Macaca mulatta: one gene and its partners. The protein of the gene in region 3 interacts with the protein of the main gene of each other region in a pairwise test. Links are inferred from orthologs where the notes say so. Each region holds a gene or a part of one and is shown on either strand. Other genes may lie near its edges.

Region 1 (5,638 bases), on a different chromosome or scaffold from region 3:
CTGCCTCAGCCTTCCTAGTAGTTGGGATTACAGGCATGTGACACCACACCTGGTTAATTTTTTAATTTTTTTAGTAGAGATGGGGTTTCACTATGTTGGCCAGGCTGGTCTCGAACTCCTGACCTCAGGTGTTCCACCCACCTCAGCCTCCCAAAGTGCTAGGATCGCAGGCGTTAGCCACTGCACCCAGCCGATATATTAATATTAACTAAACCCCCCTGCACTTCTCTTTGTGTTGTAAGCCCCATGGTTTTGACCAAATGATATGTGTCCACCTTTGTATTATCACAGGATAGTTTCACTGTGTTCCACGCATTTATCCCTTCCTCTTAACCCCTGGCAACCACTGATTTTTTACTGTCTGCATAGTTTTTGCCTTTTCCAGGATGTCATAGAGTTGGAATCATACTGTATACAGCCTTTTCAGGCTGGCTTTTGTTCACTTAGTAGTGCACATTTAAGCTTCTGCCTTGTCTTTGCGTGGGTTGACAGCTCATTTCTTTTTTTATTTTTATTTTTTGAGATAGGGTCTTGCTCTGTTGCCCAGGCTGGAGTGCAGTGGCATGATCATGGCTCACTGCAGCCTCAACTTCCCAGGCTCAAGTGATCCTCTCACCTCTGCCTCCCAAGTAGCTGAGACCACAGGCATGCGCCACCACACCCAGCTAATTTTTTGATTTTTTTTTTTTTGTAGAGACAAAAAAAGTGTTGTCCAGGCTGGTCTCAAACTCCTGGGCTCAAGCAATCCTCTTGACCCGGCCTGCCGAGTAGCTGGAACTATAGGCGTGTGCCCCATACCTGGCAGGCATGGGGTTTTCAGGCAGTAGAGGGTGGCAGGATCAGCTGCTCTGATCCAAGAGGCTCCTGGCCCTCCCCCAGCTGGGGTCTTAGGGGGCTGTAGGGCCAGCCTAGAATTTGCATATCCACTTTACAGATGGCGGGGGGTGGGGGTGGCTGTGCCTACACTGAGCTCCTTTGCAGCCTCTGCTTTGTCCCTCTCCAGGGAAGAGGACCCAGATGATGTGCCCCATGGACATATCACTTCATTGGTATGTAAGGTTCACTCAGGCTCTCTGGTGGGGGTGGAAGTGGGGGTTAGTTGAGGCAGCCCTCAAGGTCCCAGTCCTTCACCCGCTCTCTGCTCTTCTCCTACCAGGCTGTGAAGCGTTCCCACCGGCGCCTCGGTCTGGCTCAGAAACTGATGGACCAGGCCTCTCGAGCCATGATAGAGAACTTCAATGCCAAATACGTCTCCCTGCATGTCAGGAAGAGGTGGAAGCCGGGCTGAGGGAAGGGGGATTGAGGGGGAGAGATATTGCCTTGACGGGGGTCCTGGGGTACCTCGGCTTTTGGTGAAGATCCAGGAAGTGGGATTGGGGTGAAGGAGGGACCAAGAGGAGGGGCAGGCACTGGACGTGCTACCCCTCCCTGGCCATGTCCGTGCAGCTCAGCAGTGCCTTGTTCCCCTGCAGTAACCGGGCCGCCCTGCACCTCTATTCCAACACCCTCAACTTTCAGTAAGTAGATCTCGAGTTTTCTCGTGGGCTGGGGTTGGCCCCAGGTCTGGCCCATCAGGGCACCTGAGACCGGCTGAGTTGCCTTCCAGGCTAGGGGTGGGCCGGATGTGGGGAGGACGCTGTGGACCCCAGTGCTGCCAGGATGCCTCCACATTCACTCGGTGGCTGATGGTTGAAAAGCCGGCATGGAGACAGCACCTGCCTGCTGAAACGTGCTCCGTGTGTGTTGTGATGGAGGAGCTCTGGCCCATGCTGGCAGAGGCTGGTGAAGGGCACACGGGCTGTTTAGTAATGTTTGGGAATAAAGAGGTGTGGGTCCCTGGCGTGAGCAGATCATAGCATGGCCAAGCACCTGGAAGAATCCAAGAGAGAGCAGAATCAAGGAGAATGCACGTTCAGGAAGGAAGGACCGGCGGCCAGGCAACCTAGTGGATGGGGCAGGTCTGCCTGAGGACCGGGAGGCCCCGTGTGCCTAGCACAGGAGAGAGGACCTGGCAGTTAGCATGCCCAGTAGACAGTGGAAAAAAGTGCTTGCAAGTGAAGCTGGGGTGGGCTGCCCGTGGAGGGACACTAACTGCAGTCAGCCCCTGTTTGGCAGGGGTGAAGAGGAGGGACTGTTGGGAAGGGCAGTGGCCTCTGGGCTGGATGCTGGCAAGAGGGATCTGTGACCCAGATGAGGATGTCTGGTGGGAACTGCTTTATAGCTAAGTCAACAATCCTCATGTCTTAGGCCTGGCAGGGCCAGCCTAGGCCATTGAGTCCAGCTCCCCTTCCAGGGACATGGCCACCCGAGTCTGCACACATGCCTCCCCAGTGCAGGCATGGCCCCTGAGCTGCTCAGGCAGGGCCCGTGCTGCCTAGGGATGACTCCCCTAAACAGAGCTCACTGTCTTTCCTGGGTTCTGATGGCTGTTGTGAGGCAGCTCAGTAAGGGACAGGACGCAGGGCAGGGAGGGAAGGGGAAGGCTGAATTCAGGAATTCAGCTCACAAGAAACCACAGAAATGAATCCTTAGTAGCCAGGCTAAGGACACAGAACGGGGGCAGGACAGGGGTGGGGCGGGCCGCTGTTTCCTGGAGCCTTTGCTGGAGAGAACAGAGGGCAGGTCACACTGGACTTGCTGTCTCAGGAAGGAGCCCTTCAGGGAGAAAACACGGCATCTTGCTCCAGTAGCCATGATACTAGGAGTGGAGGAGGGTGTCCCCCAGGTATGGGTCTTCCTCCTTGCTCTCTACCCTCTGCCCCCAGGATCAGTGAAGTGGAGCCCAAATACTATGCAGATGGGGAGGACGCCTATGCCATGAAGCGAGACCTCACTCAGATGGCCGACGAGGTAAGAGCCTGCATGAAGCCAAGCCAGGCAAGCGGGGGTGGCATTGGGGAGCCCCGAGACAGTGGCTGGAGGTGCGACCAACTTTGAATGCCAGCCCTTGTGGCTATGTTGCCAGGAGTCACAACCTCAGTTTCCTAGGTTGGGCTTTAGAGGAGGCCGTCTGCCTAGCAGCCTGGAGGGTGATGGGAGAGGCAGAGGGAGGAGGCTTTTAGAAGGGAAGTGGGGAGGCCTGGGGACCAGTGGGTGGCCTGCCTGCTCAGAGGTAGTTCTGAGTCAGGGTTCTGCCCCAGGCTCCTTGGGTGGCAGGGCTGGTCAAGGGGCAACGCTGTGTCGTGGGGGCCTCCATGGTAGTCAGTGAGCCCAGGTAGCAGTGGACTGGGGCTCCAGCCAGGTGTCCCCACTCAGTCCCACGTGTCCTGCCTAGCCCTGCTGCCTCACTATGCCCCTCTCCTCAGCCAGCGACAGGGCCAGGCTCCCTTTGTCTGGAAACTTAGGCCCCATCTCTTTACCTCCTGCTTCTCCCTGGGTTCCTGGTGGCAGCTGAGGCGGCACCTGGAGCTGAAGGAGAAGGGCAGGCATGTGGTGCTGGGTGCCATCGAGAACAAGGTGGAGAGCAAAGGCAATTCACCTCCGAGCTCAGGAGAGGCCTGTCGCGAGGAGAAGGGCCTGGCTGCCGAGGATAGTGGTGGGGACAGCAAGGACCTCAGCGAGGTCAGCGAGACCACAGAGAGCACAGATGTCAAGGACAGCTCAGAGGCCTCCGACTCGGCCTCCTAGAGCCTGCCCCATCCCTTCCTCACCCCACGAGCTTTCACAATAAATTCGCTCCGTGGCACTGGGGAACTTCGTGTGTGTGCGTGTGCACATTTAGAGGGTGTGTTTCTCCAGGTCCTCTGGTGGGGAGGTGAGCCTCAGCCTTTTGACCCAGAGCATCCTGCCAGTCCGAATAGAAGGGAAGAGCTTTGGAGGTGGGACTCCCCAGTCTCATGGCCTTCAGCAGCTGTGGCCCCGGGAAGGAGGCCCTGGGCTTAGGGAGAGACCCTGCCTTGGAGGTCTGCTTGGCCACGCTGAATGTGTTTTGTGGCATAAGCCTGGGCCGCTTAGGCTCAAAGCTCAACAGCAGGGCTCCCACTCTTGGTAGCCTTCAGTTCTCCTCCCATCTTCACCTTCAGACCTTTTCTCTCCCTAATCACACCTGCTTTGGGCTACAGCAGCTCTGCGGCATAGCCGTGGGCTCCAGATGTGGACATCTGACTGCTCATTGGGCTTATCTACAGCTGTCCTGAGTATAATGACCCAGCCAGACGCCCTGTCAACGGTCCTTGAGTCCTCCCTTCCCTGCCACCCTAATGGTCAGTGAGTCCATGATACCTCTTGAGTCTACTCCCTGAGTTTGCATTTGAAAATAATTTATTTTTAGTACAATTCCCCCCGTTTGCCCTATTGACATTTTGTATTAGTTGGTGTATTTGTTATTGTTGATGAGCTAATACTGATAAGTTATTGTAAACTATAGCCCATGGTTTACATTAGGTTTCCTGTCTGTGTTGTACAGTTTCTATGGGGTTACACAAATACATAAAGCCATTTATTCCCTCAAAATAATTTCATGCAGAATACAAAACTGGGTGGCTGTTGGGTGCGGTGGCTCATGCCTGTAATCACAGCACTTTGGGAGGCCGAGGTGGGCGGATCACTTTAGCTCAGGAGTTGGAGACCAGCCTGGGCAGCATGGCGAAACCCCATCTCTACTAAAAATAGAAAACCAGGTGTGGTGGTGCACGCCTGTAATCCCAGCTACTCGGGAGGCTGAAGCAGGAGGATCCCTTGAGCCCGGGAGGTGGAGGTTGCTGTGAGCCCTGATCACGCCACCACACTCCAGGGACAGAGACCCGTCTCTAAATAAATAAATAAATAAATACACACACACCAAAATCCTGTTTTTCATGGAGTCACCCTAACCGTAACGCTCTCTCCTGTGTCTCCTCCCTTCCCTTCCCTCCGGCTGCAAAGCCATCGCTTGCTGTTCCTAGTCCCTGGGCGGGCCCTGTATTCCTGAGCCCTCTGTGTACCCTGCTACTGCAGGTGGCACTGCTCCTCCGCCAGGTTGAAAATTCGCCAAACAGACCTGGAGCTCGGTTCTCTTTGGCTGGCGCCTGGCACGTGACCAGCAGGCAGCCAGCTGCTGTGGAAGCGGAGCCCGGAGACCGGCAGGGCGGGGCCGGGGCCGGAAAGGCGCGTCTGCGCACGCCCGCAGCTCTCCGGTTCCCGGCTCGGGCGAGGCTGTGTTCTGATTGGCTTAAGACGTGGGCTTCCCTTTGTATGGGCCGGAGGCGGAGCTCTGGCCCGCCCCGCGCCTGGCGTCAGTGTCTTCCGGTTCGCAAGCCCGCGGCAAGCTTCGTTCCCAGGCTCTGATTGGTCCGGCGGCTCTGGGTTCTGCGCGTGGGGTGCGGGGGAAGGGCGGGCTTGGGCACTGCCTCGGCCGCGCCCCGGCGCCGGTGGAAGGGAGCTGGCCCAAGCTCCCACGGCGTCCGCGGCGCCCTCCTTCCGCCCCTGCCCGGCCCGCTGGACCCGTCCCTGGCGGGCCCGATGCCTGTCGGCCGCTCCCTCCGTCCCCATGCGGACAGGTCCCCGCCTTCTGCGGGCTGCCTGGCTTTTGAATGCTTTGAAGGGGAACAATGGAGCGAAGGATAGAGCGAGCAGCAGGGGGCAGTTGCGTTCAGGGCCTTAAATGCCAAACAAGTGCCCTAAAAGCCTGGGCCAAACACTCAGGCTCTAAAGCACGGGC
Region 2 (6,482 bases), about 14 Mb from region 3:
TGCCTCAGCCTCCCGAGTAGCTGGGATTACAGGCACGCATCACCACACTCAGCTAATTTTTGTATTTTTAGTAGAGATGGGGTTTTGCCACATTGGCCCGGCTGGTCTCGAACTCCTGATCTCAAGTGATCCGCCCACCCCGGTCTCCCAAAGTGCTGGGATTATAGGCATGAGCCACCACGCCTGGGCAATCACTTTTTAAAACCTCCTTTTTGGGTGGGAGGACCAGGCTTGCTTCATCACTTCGAGATAATTCTTAAGAAAGCTGTAGGTTATGACACCCTTTGTTTTTCATCTTACAGAAGAAGGACTTCCTTTTCTTGAGTCCTTCCTCTTTACTTCTTCAGAAAGCATGTGCCGATAGGGAGTGGAAAACGCCTACACAGGAAAAAGGATGCCATTCTACATTCCTGACTCCGGAGAGCTCTGGCCTGCCCCCATCAGAGGGGACCGCAGCCAATGCGAAACTGATCTCCAACGTGAGGTCAGCATCCTGGTCCCCAGGGTAGCTATGTTCCACAGGACACCACTGCCCCTCAGCAACAACCCCTTGCCATGTGGTTGGCTGTGCACGTGGACAGAGGGCCATTGGGAACCATGTATCTGCAGCCAGGCCCTGATGGCCAGCTCCACCTCGGTCAAGACTCCCATCCCCACATGTCATTCCTTTCTAGCCTGACATTCTAGAAGACATTCTTCTAAACATTCCTTTCAAGCCTGACATTCTAGAAGAAACCTGACATTCTAGAAAATTCCACAGGATTTAGACTCTGACCCCAGCTTCATCTTCTTCCCTCCCTCTCTTGCCATCGGTTCAGGCTTGGAGCTTAGATATTCTGCATATGGATTTAAATCTAACTTACCTGAAGATCTCTGGGGTTTTCGGTCTGGGTGGAGGCTCAGCTGCCTATTGAATATTCAGGAGAAGTGAAAATGGAAAAGGCAATGAGGGAAAGCAGGGGAGAGACAACAAATGGCTAATGGTAATTTGAGCATTCTTCCAGACCAAAACGTCAAATAATGCATTTCTGACTGATGGGAACACTGTCTAGGAAGGGGGCACAGTCACCCTGACTAAACACTGGGAAATAACACCTCCCACTAGCTCCCCAGGTGTAGGTTTCACTAGCGCAGCAATTCATTTTGAGCCAGAGCTAGTTTCTGGAGGTTAGCAGTCACACAGCAACATGGTGTCACAAGAATGCTTTGACCTTGAGCTCTGTCCTTTTCCCAGGAGAGTTTCCAGAAGCTCTGTTCTGTAATTAATGTCTACTATGTCACATGACACTTCTAAGTATTTTAAAATTAATTAAAAAAAATTTTTTTTTTTTTTTTGAGATAGAGTTTCACTCTGTCGCCCAGGCTGGAGTGCAGTTGTGTGATCTTGGCTCACTGCAACTTCTGCCTCCCTCGTTCAAGTGATTCTCCTGCCTCAGCATCCCATGTTGCTGGAATTACAGGCATGTGCCACCACACCCTGCTAATTTTTGTATTTTTAGTAGGGATGGGAGTTTCACCATGTTGGCCAGACTGGTCTGGAATTCCTGGCCTCAAGTGATCTGCTCACCTCAACCTCCCAAAAATGATGGGATTACAGGCATGAGCCACTGCGCCTGGCCACTTCTGAGTATTTAAAATTGACACAGGATTCCACTGACTGGGCAAGAATCTCCTCCCCTGTTCTACACTGAATACCAAGGGATCCAGTGACCTGGGCTGCGTTCCCTTCATGGCCTCTGGCTGAACTGAAGCTCAAGGGACTTCAGCAAGGCTTTCATCAGCTTTATTGTGAAGAAAGAGATCAAGGAATCTAGATCTGGAACATACCTGCCCCTGCTCAGAAAACCCGCCCTCTGCTGGTGCTGACCAATGCTCTTCACCATCACAGTTTCATTGCCACAGAGTTCCTATTTTCCTCAATGCGTTTTCCCCTCTTCCCTTCGCAAGGAATCTCTGTCTGCATTTCTAGATCCACTGTCATCCAGTTCATCTGAGCCCACCTCTCCAAGCCCAGTTTGGACAGAAAAAGGTTCACTCTCAGCGCCCTGCCTGTGTTCCCGAAGGAAACGCCTGCACATGAGCAGATGGGTAGAGCCAGGAGAGCCCAAACCTCAGACCCAGGCCCCACAGGGTTCCCCACTTGCCCCGTACTCAAGAAGAGGCTTTGTTAACAAGCCTTCCATAACTTGTGTTTCACCTTCCTGAGAGAATGGTTGAGGCTTCAGAGAGAGTATCAGCAGATCTCTTTAGAGACGTGAAGACTGGCATTTGTGGGGAGGCAGGAGAGTTAGCTTCAGAGGACTTGGGGTGAAGCCTGACACTGCCTTATTTCCTTACCAGCCATGGAACCCAGGACTGAGAGAGGGCAGGCAGATCCCTCAGCTGCACTGAGGGCCACTTGAAGGAGCCCTTTCAATAAGGCAGCTCAGCACACATAGTCTCTCGAATCGAATGCTTCACAGAAAGCTCTTGAGACCTAGGTCCATGGAGAAGGTCAGGATTGCCTCACCTGTGGTTGCAGAGGGGCAAACCCAGAGAAACTGTCATGATCCACTACAGACGCCACAACCTGAAATCAAGGACAGGAGGGTGTGAGGCTCTGCCAGCACGGTTTCCATTCTTCTGGCTCTCCCTCCTTGCTCATGCCCTAGACCGGTTCTCACTTGAGCCTGGTTTCAGACGTGGACAGTAACTGAGGATTAGATTCCTGATCCTCTGGATTAGGATTTCAGCAACTGAGGAAACGAGTATTCACCCAACCCCTGCTAACAGAGGCTTGCTTTCTCCTCTCTAAAAACAAATGTTTTTATTGAGGTGCAATTTGTGTAACGTCAAATTACCCTTTTTTGTTTTTTGTTTTGTTTTGTTTTGTTTTGAGACAGAGTCATGCTCTGTTGCCCAGGCTGGAGTGCAGTGGCGCAATCTCGGCTCACTGCAGCCTCCGCCTTCCAGGTTCAAGCGATTCTCCTGCCTCAGCCTCCCAAGTAGCTGGGACTACAGGCATGCACCGCAGCACCTGGCTAATTTTGTATTTTTAGTAGAGACGGGGTATCACCATGTTGACCAGCCTAGTCTTGAACTCCTGACCTCATGATTCACCTGCCTCGGCCTCCCAAAGTGCTGGGATTACAGGCGTGAGCCACGACGCCCGGCCAAGACCTGGATTTAGAAGAAGTGCAATTTAAGACATAGTCTAAACACAGGGCTGTGGAAGTAGGGAAACACTCCTCAGCCCACTAACACGTGAACTACAAGGAGCATTAATCCAAGAGGAACCCATGCTGATCTCTTTCCCCAACATATTCTTTCCATATTTGTTTTTATTATTTAGAAACAGAGTCTCACTCTGTTGCCCAGGCTAGAGTACAGTGGTGCAATCATAGTTCACTGTAGCCTTGAACTCCTGGGCTCAAGTGACCCTTTCGCCTCACAGCCTCTCCACTAGCTAGGCTGGTCTCAAACTCCTGGCCACAAGTGATCCTCCCACTTCAGCCTCCCAAAGCGCTAGGATTACAGGCATGAGCCACCCTGCCTGGCCTTCTCTTCACATTTAGTGAGCTCCTCATGGCTGTGTTTTCCCTCCACTGGCTCAGTCCCCAAGACTCAGCATCCTGTGGGGAACCCTATGGCTCTCACCCAGGGTCAAGCTGGAAGGGAGGAATGGGAGCAGCCTGGAGAAAATAAACTAGAAGTGGTTGCCTATCTTTCAGCCAAACCTCTGTCCTATAAACAAGTCTCTTGTTGCCATCCCAGGGACAGAGCCACAAGGAGGCTGCCCTCTTCTCAAGAGTCCCTCCCACCTTGCTCCACATGGCCCAGGCCACAGGAGACTCAGGGGACACCTACCGTCGCCTTGCCTAGGTAATCCTTCTTGGCCAGCTGAGCCACTTGTCTCTCATTTGGTCGAAACAGCCTGCCCACAGGGATCACCACTGGCTCGTACAGCTTCTGCTTCTGTAACACAGAAAACGTAGCATTTCCTTATCTGAAAATGGGGGTGACGATGCTTGTCCTGCCTCCCTCAGCGAATAGATGCAAGAATTTATTGAGATAACCACATAGAAGCACTTTTTCCAAATGAGTGTTGTCATTGCTCTAGGGTGTTAAGGTAGGAACCCCTGGTTTGAATACCACCTTCTGCTGTGAGGCCACGTGGACGTTGTTTGCTGCTATATGCCCAGCACCCTCTTTTCCCAGAGGAACTGCTCCTCTCCCTCTCTGTGTGGTGTCCGTGGGGTTCTCTAATGGTGTAGACGGCACCACCGCGACGAGGCTGGCCCGGGATTAAGTGAGGCTCATAACAGTGTTCCCTTGGATGAGTGTCTGCTGACGAGGATAGGCATATAAACACTGACTTGAGTCCTCTTCTCTGTGTTTTAAAAATCGGATTTAAAGCTAGCCTTATTCACAAATATGCTTGAACGATGGCTAATTTTTATCACTCATTCACATAATCAAAACATTTTGTGGGCAGGCGTGGTGGCTCACCCCTATAATTCCTACACTTTGGGAGGCCAAGGTGGGCAGATCACCGGAGGTCAGCAGTTCGAGACCTGCGTGGCCAACATGGCAAAACCCCATCTCTATTAAAAATACAAAAATTAGCCAGGCATGGCGGCATGCACCTGTAATCCCAGCTACTTAGGAGGCTGAGGCAGGAGAATTGCTTGAACCCAGGAGGCGGAGGCTGCAGTGAGCCGAGATCACACCACTGTACTCCATGCTGGGCAACAGAGCGAGACTCCATCTCAAAACAAAACAAAACAAAACAAAACATTTTTGCTGAGAGCTGTTACGTGCCTAGCATTGTGCCAGGCTGTGAGGACTCAGTGGTGATCCAGCAGACATGGTGTCTGCCCTCTCAGTGCTTACAGTCTGTGCAGTGCCGCTCCAGCATCCAGTATCCTGTTCTGCATTGCCCAGGAGCCCCACTGCGAGGGCGGTGTGCTGCCAGGCCTCTGCCATCCCATACTCTAGGCCTCAGGTTCTCAGCACAGATTCAAGATCGTAAGTGGAACTATACCCTAACATCTGTGTTACCCAGACTCAGAAAGTAAAAGCACCACTTTTATGGCTTCTCAATGGCATGTCCTCTGAGACAAATGAGAATCCAGTGAAATCCTCTCCCCACCTGCATCACCAATACGCTTACCCAGACACACTCCATGGCCTTGTCGATTTTGGAATGTCTGGGCTCAGACTTCATGCTCGTGGCCAATGCTAACTGTTCTTCAGCTTTTTTCCATTCCTCCTTCTTGGCATACATGAAAGCAATGTTATATAACACCTAGAAAAGTACAGACCGCAACATAAAATTTGAGACTACTCCAAATCAAGGTGCCGGGGAAGGGCTCACACGTGTACTCCGGGAGTGTTGCTGGTGGCCTTTCTCCCTTCCTCAGCTCTCCTGGGAATATCTAAAATATAGTGCAGTTAGTCTTGCTATTGAGGTACATCAAACACAAATATGGTGTTAAGAAAACACCATGGAATGCATCAATGCAACATCATGTGTACTCTTCTAACAACCAAATAGGTTAGGAACGGACAAGAACTATTGTATACAGTGTATTCAAACCGGTTAAAAAAGAAGAAGAAGAATTGTTGTGCTGTTTTAGTGTGAGTTGCTTTAGTGAAAGAGTGACTTGATGGCCGGGCGCGGTGGCTCAAGCCTGTAATCCCAGCACTTTGGGAGGCCGAGACGGGCGGATCACGAGGTCAGGAGATCGAGACCATCCTGGCTAACACAGTGAAACCCCGTCTCTACTAAAAAATACAAAAAAAAAACTAGCCGGGCGAGGTGGTGGGCGCCTGTAGTCCCAACTCGGGAGGCTGAGGCAGGAGAATGGCATAAACCCGGGAGGCAGAGCTTGCAGTGAGCTGAGATCCGGCCACCGCACTCCAGCCTGGGCGACAGAGCGAGACTCCGTCTCAAAAAAAAAAAAAAGAAAGAGTGACTTGCTCAAGGCTCCTTCTAGAGGCAGACACAGGGTTGGGAATAAAATACAGGTGTGTGGCCTTCCAGTCCAGCTCCTGCCACTGCGCCTAGGCTTAAACACTGGACAGGTACAGGGCAGGAAGAGGGATCAAGATGCAACCTCCTGTACCAGCACCAGCAGAACCTGGCCCAGACCATGTGAGTAAAAGACTAATGTAGCAACACAGGCCAGGCACAGTGGCTCACGCCTGTAATCCCGGCACCTTGGGAGGCCAAGACGGGTGAATCACTTGAGGTCAGGAATTCAAGATCAGCCTAGCCAACACAGAGAAACCCTGTCTCTACCAAAAATACAAAAATTAGCTGGGCATGGTGGCAGGCACCTGTAATTCCAGCTTCTTGGGAGGCTGAAACAGGAGAATTGCTTGAACCCAGAAGACAGAGGTTAGCACAGAAGCCAGGGGCACCTTCGCCTGGGGTGGGGAGGGAATGGTAAATGCAACAGTAGTCATACTTTTCCAGGCGTTGAGTTGGGCTGTGGTTC
Region 3 (6,482 bases):
TGATATACATATTTTAAAAGATATATCAACAATACACTACTAGAAAGACTTGAGATTATAAAATTATTTTAAATATATCACACTACCCTTACCTAAAATACAGTTATTTTTAAGAAGTTAGAAAGTAGACATTTTTTGTAACTAACCACCATATTAACTACTCAGATATTCACAATAGATTTTTAGATTATTGTCTAACAAAACAATAATGTATCAATACTAGACATACATTTTATTTATTGTGTAAAACTGACATCAATTAGTAAAGTACTAGTAATTAGGTTTTACATATGTTTTCTGGACAATTCATTCATCCAAGTATTTATTCAATAAACAATTATTTGCTAATACTAGCACATTTTTAGAACAGAAGCAGCAATTCTCTAGGAATTGGCTAGAACTTTTCGTAACGTTTTAATAAACATCTTTCTTAAGGATATATGTGCATAAATAATAAATATGAATACATAATAGGTATGTATTTGCACATACATGCATATATATAACAATAACATTTACTGAGCACTTACTGTGGGTCAGGCCTTATTCTAAGCATTTTAATTTTTAATTCATTTAATTCGAAAAACTATCCAAAGAGGGTGCGACTATTACTATCCAAATTTTACTCATAAGGAAACTGAGGCATGAGTGAGTATAGACTAAATGAAAGATAGAATAACAGATAGCAAGACAGAAAATGGGAAACAGGAATAAGAATTTAGCGGTACAGCATAGGCAGACACACAGAGAAACTGAGAGAACGAGTGATCTACATATTGAATCAATGACACAAACAGCAATAGAGATACAGTAGTCATTTGATTTAATAATTTTTATACTCACCTGGAAAAGCAAAAAAAGATGTAAATTATGTTTGTAGCTAACTCAACACTTTGCTTCCAGTCTTCTCTCAGGACCCTTGCTAATGCACCAAGGGCAGTTTCTAAAGAAAAAGGAGAAGTACCGAAATGATCATTCTCCTTGCTCTGGTATAAAGGGTGATTGGTTTTAAATGTCTAGTTATTAATAAATAACAAAGCTAAGATAGAACTGGGACAAAAAGTAGTATGCTTCTTTCCAATACGGACAGCTACTTTTAAAACTAAAATGTAACTTTACTTAAAGATACGTAAAATGCTACTTCAAGTATATACTGTACACAGAAGTAATCAAATATGATTTAGATAAAGTGACATAATATATATTATGGTAACAATAAAATAATTAAAAAGCCTTTCATTTTTTAATTTAATAATCTTAAATTAAGAACTGCAATCTTAATTTGTAAGATTAAGAACTGTACTCTTACTACTGCAGTACTGATTTTTTTCTTTTTAACATCTGATTTAATGTATTTGATAATATGAAAAAAACTTGAATAAGTCTAGAAAAAAAGAGCAGTTTAGTAGACTAACACTAGTTCCATTAAAGTAAATTAAAAACCAAATAAAATCTATACACAGAAAAATAAATTTAATATTTCAGTATCACACTGAATTTATGCTAATAGCTGCAAATAAAACAAAAAGCTTTCACAAAATTAACTTTCAGGTAGGTTAATAAGCATTTCTGCTAAAATTTTCTCTTCAGGAAATGAAAATTATAAATTAATGACATAGTTTCAAATTGGGTTGGTACATGGCATACTAATTCTTAAAATAATTAAAACAAAATATCTGTATGTTAAAATATAAAAATCATAATTCCACTGTTTTTAATAGATACTCAGGATTTACAATAGTACTTTATGGACTGCATTATAAGTATTTATTATGGTAATGAAAATGTTCCATATTTGAGCTTTCTGGCTATTCGGACTATGAACAAAAATTAATTGTATTAGTTATGAATCCACATAGTGACAAATTTTTTAGCAAATTAAAAATCATCCTATGATAGCATTTCACAGTATTATTCATATTCACAATGCAGAGAACTGGAATAGTATATGCTTTGAAAAAAATTATTTTGGAGTCATGTAAATAGATTGGCAATGCATATTAACATGCAAAGCCTCCCAAAAGTCCTATTTAATAAAGAATCCGGTATAGCTTTGTTCAATCTAGTAATTCCCAAAGGTATTTGACCATTATAATCCAGAGAAAATAGTATTTCTTAAAATACTAGCCTATACAGAACTGTTCTATAATGTCATAAATTTAGGTATAGGTTTAGTGACCTATTTGCAAAATTTTATTTCATTTTTCTCCTTTAAAACAGAACATCTCAATAAAAATACAGTTACAGGAGTTGTACACAGTTTACCAAGAAACAGCTAAAAGAAAATATAGTTTACAAGAGGTTAAAAGACAATCCCAAATTAATTTCTACATTGAATGCAATCATAATCAAAATCCCATTATGACTTTTCACAGAATATGATGAAGTAATCTCAAAGTATATAAGACAAATGTGCAAGACCAGTAAAGCCAATTCTTGGGGAAAGAAAGCAATTTGGAACATTTTTTCCCACATATTCTAAAGTTCAAGTCAAAATAAAAAACAACACAACAATAGTGTGGTATCGGTATGTAAATAATCAAATAAACCCAATGGAACAGAAGGAGAGGGAACACTAAAACAATTCCATGAAAATATGGAACAGTACCTGCCACAGAATAAGTTTTCAAGAATTATCTATTTCATAAAAGAATGGCAAGCATATAGCAGAAAAGGCATTTGAAATACTTATTTGAAAATACTGATTGAGAAAACTATTGATTTGAATTATTTTATCCAGGTATTTGGCAACAACCAGAAAGGCATTCTCTCTCATGTAATGCAAACCAGATAATAAACACATCTTTCCTATTTTGTTTTTGATAAATGTATAATCAGAAAACTATGGATTTAAAATGATTCTATAGGCAGGGCGTGCGGTGGCTCATGCCTGTAATCCCAGCACTTTGGAAAGCAGAGGCGGGTAGATCACCTGAGGTCGGGAGTTTCAGATCAGCCTGACCAATATGGTGAAACCCTGTCTCTACTTCACACACACACACACACACACACACACACACACATTAGCCGGGCATGGTGGCACATGCCTGTAATCCCAGCTACTCAGGAGGCTGAGACGGGAGAATCACATGAACCCGGGAGGCGGAGGTTGCAGTGAGCCGAAGGTCGCAGTGAGCAGAGATCGTGCCACCGCACTCCAGCCTGGGCAACAGAGGGAGACCTTGTCTCAAAAACAAAAACAAAACAAAACAAAACAAAACAAAACAAAAATGATTCTATAGTGGTATTACTGAGAAAAGGGTGTTAAAAACATTCTATCTCCTTTTCTTGTTACTATCAAGTACTTCCAGTGAAAGGAAAGCAAATACTTGATGTGAAATTCAATCTCAATGAAACTGCAAAGATTAATAGCTTTCCCTGTGCTACTGAGAAAAAACTAATACTGGAACTTTAATAAAACATGATATATATATTTATGCAAATGTCTGTAGTTTGATCTTATATTCTAATTGAAACAATAAAAGAGTTTCCCAGAGTAGAAGAAAGAAAAGGTATAGTACCATTAATGCTTAATTTTCCTTGTTTACATTAAACGGTTTGTGAATTCTCCGGAGAATATTTAAATGCTATGCTCTCAATTTAAGAAATCTGAGTAGAAAGAAATAAAGAGCTGGAAAATATATGCAGTCTTAAGTTTTGTATAAATAATTGTAACTTATTCATCTATTATGATTAAACATGTTTTATGGTAATCACCATTTAATAGTAGTTCTTCCAAGTTATCAGGATTTCGAGCAAGCTGCAGGATCAAAGCAGAACCCCGAACCTTGTCAGGAATATCTTCATATAACAACTCAATATATTCATCCATGTCATTAATGTTAGCAACTTCATCAATCTGAAACAAAGGAAGAAGCAGAAAGTACTCATCAACAATGCTCAACAGATCCACTGTCAAAGAAATAATATTTTGTGATCAATACAGATATAACAATACAGAAATTTCCAAAGAACTCACAGTAACCATCCTTTTGGATAGGGAAATTTTAGATCTTTAGACCTAGGACTCTAATACAAAACCCCATGATAAAATGAGATGTATATAAACTTTAAAAATTGTTTATCAATATAAAGTATCTTAAATGTAATAAAAAATATTTGTATCTACTATAGTAGATTAAACAATATTTCACAACATATTACAATAAGAATATGTAAACATTTTTGCCCATCATTTACCAAAATTAATTGTTTAGAAAGCACAACCAGCCACAGGTACAGCGGCTCACAGCTACAATCCCAGCACTTTGGGAGGCCGAGGCGGGCAGATCACAAGGTCAGGAGTTCGAGACCAGCCTGACCAACATGGTGAAGCCCCGTCTCTACTAAAAATACAAAAATTAGCTGGGCGTGGTGGCACGCACCTGTAATCCCAGCTACTCAGGAGGCTGAGGCAGGAAAATCGCTTGAACCCGGGAAGCAGAGGTTGTGGTGAGCCGAGATCACGCAAAAAAAAAGCAGAACCAATACTTTTTGTCTTTTTCAATTAAATAATGGTTTTCTACCTTTCTCAGGTACCTGAGTTCAGTCATTTTTAAAAAAATACCACATGCTTAATGTGATTGTGTGTATTATTGATGGAAAAAGGCAATATCTGATAATTCAGTCCTCTATTAGATCAGAACGCATGCAGTCTTACCTCCATTCCTTCGAAAGGAGGTGGATCTTTAGGCTTGCTTGATTTTTCTTTTTTCTCTGTAACAAGATTTTTTTTTTTAAATAAGGAGAATTAGGTTTTTAGGGTTTCTAGGTAATTTTTATTTTCAGCAGCTGAGTTTAATTCTAGCTAAACTGGGGATATTAAAACCAGTTTATGAAATAATCTCTTTTCAATGTATAAAAATGCTCATATATAATCAATTCGATCAAATGAGGATATCAAGGAGAGCATAAACTAATAAAATCTATATCACCAACTTCCTCCTTGGTTAACTTTTTGGGTATGTAAGGTATACAGTCAGACTTGCCAACAAGCAGCAAAACAGTCTGCTCTAAGTATCCTCTCTTTCCCTTCCTAGTTCAAATTTAAGGTAGGAATAGGAAAATCAATAAGGCAAAGAAAAAAGTATGACTTGAGTAATATAAAAACTAAAATGAAAATTAACAAAGCAGAAAGAAATAAAAATTGGTAAATTTAAAACCTAAGATATAGAATAGTTGTTAACTGGTTCTTTTTTAACAAGTAAAATTAATATCATAAATTAAAAGGCAAACATTTATTACTTATATTAATTAAATCCCCACTTATTCCCAAATAAAGAGTTATCCAAAGGTGCTGAACACAAGTTTGAGCCATTCGTTTATATTGAATTATCTAATTAATGGCATAATTTCATTTTTTAACAAAAAAACTATCAAATACTTTATTGATCTGGATTATAAGTCTAAGTAATGTATGTACATTAAAGTAAGTTAGAATGTTATCAAAATTTTTGATTCCATAATTAGCAAATAAATATATGATAGAATTAGTCATTATTTTCAGAGGACAGCACTCATTCTATATAAGATCATACATTCTCAACAACTTAATTCTGCTTCAGACAGATAATTTACTAAGACAGTGGTTTTAATTATGCAAAAAAAAATCACTGAATGTAATGAATTACACAACCAAGTAAGTATTATTGTTTCAATTGCTTTTAAGATAAGATTTCTGGCTTTGGAATACTGCTTGCCAAGTAAAAGAATTTTAACAAAGAAAACCAGTAGTGTAAAAAAAAGCATATATTTAATATACACTTCCTAAAGCATTTCCTATGTCTTCAATTATTAATAATACTCTACCCAGATAGAGAAAATATTGATTTGAATTATTTTATCCATGTATGATGACATGAACATTTTTTCATATTCCTCTAATTTCTGGGGAGCAAGGTAAAACCACTGATTTGCCCTGAAAACACAGTGAAAGAGTTTTTACTGGTTCAAAGATACTTTATTCTAAATGCCTTCAGAATTATATTAATTTGGCACTAGGAAAGATCAACTTTAACTATACTGTACAACCTACAATAAGTAGACACAGATCTTAAAAGACTACCAGATTTGCTTTTCTCCTTGGATTTATTGGACTATGTGATCTCTCATCATTTACAGACATCTTAACAAGAATATTCTATTAACAAAATACTTAATACAAATTGTCCTTGATAATATTTTCCTTATCTACATAGTACTTAACAATGCCAGGTATGTGATTAGAAGCAATCACGTTCAAAATGTCTATTTTTGCTTTTTTTTTTTTTTGAGACGGAGTCTTGGTCTGTTGTCAGGATGGAGTGCAGTGGCACGGTCTTGACTCACTGCAACCTCTGCCTCCTGGGTTCAAGCGATTCTCCTGCCTCAGCCTCCTGAGTAGCTGGGGTCACAAGCATGCACCACCACAACCAACTATTTTTGCATTTTTACTAGAGATGGGGTTTCACCACGTTGGCCAGGATGGTCTTGATCTCTTGACC

Evidence for each region.
Region 1: the proteins of KIFAP3 (region 3) and NAA10 interact in binary tests that used the Homo sapiens proteins (3 or more experiments, as listed by UniProt). The two-hybrid records come from large-scale screens. The link is inferred for Macaca mulatta from reciprocal best matches to the Homo sapiens genes KIFAP3 and NAA10.
Region 2: the proteins of KIFAP3 (region 3) and NCF2 interact in binary tests that used the Homo sapiens proteins (3 or more experiments, as listed by UniProt). The two-hybrid records come from large-scale screens. The link is inferred for Macaca mulatta from reciprocal best matches to the Homo sapiens genes KIFAP3 and NCF2.

What each region holds. Positions count from the first base shown.
Region 1 is NC_133426.1:160,174,196-160,179,833, reverse strand, and holds the end of NAA10 (N-alpha-acetyltransferase 10), read left to right. Parts: intron 1-1,003; coding exon 1,004-1,076; intron 1,077-1,123; coding exon 1,124-1,272; intron 1,273-1,472; coding exon 1,473-1,517; intron 1,518-2,765; coding exon 2,766-2,850; intron 2,851-3,390; coding exon 3,391-3,627; 3' UTR 3,628-3,693; downstream 3,694-5,638. UniProt on the Homo sapiens protein: Catalytic subunit of N-terminal acetyltransferase complexes which display alpha (N-terminal) acetyltransferase activity. Acetylates amino termini that are devoid of initiator methionine.
Region 2 is NC_133406.1:41,051,448-41,057,929, forward strand, and holds part of NCF2 (neutrophil cytosol factor 2), read right to left. Parts: intron 5,288-6,482; coding exon 5,153-5,287; intron 3,955-5,152; coding exon 3,847-3,954; intron 2,570-3,846; coding exon 2,510-2,569; intron 908-2,509; coding exon 864-907; intron 1-863. UniProt on the Homo sapiens protein: Subunit of the phagocyte NADPH oxidase complex that mediates the transfer of electrons from cytosolic NADPH to O2 to produce the superoxide anion (O2(-)).
Region 3 is NC_133406.1:27,543,318-27,549,799, forward strand, and holds part of KIFAP3 (kinesin-associated protein 3), read right to left. Parts: intron 4,717-6,482; coding exon 4,661-4,716; intron 3,860-4,660; coding exon 3,718-3,859; intron 944-3,717; coding exon 844-943; intron 1-843. UniProt on the Homo sapiens protein: Involved in tethering the chromosomes to the spindle pole and in chromosome movement. Binds to the tail domain of the KIF3A/KIF3B heterodimer to form a heterotrimeric KIF3 complex and may regulate the membrane binding of this complex.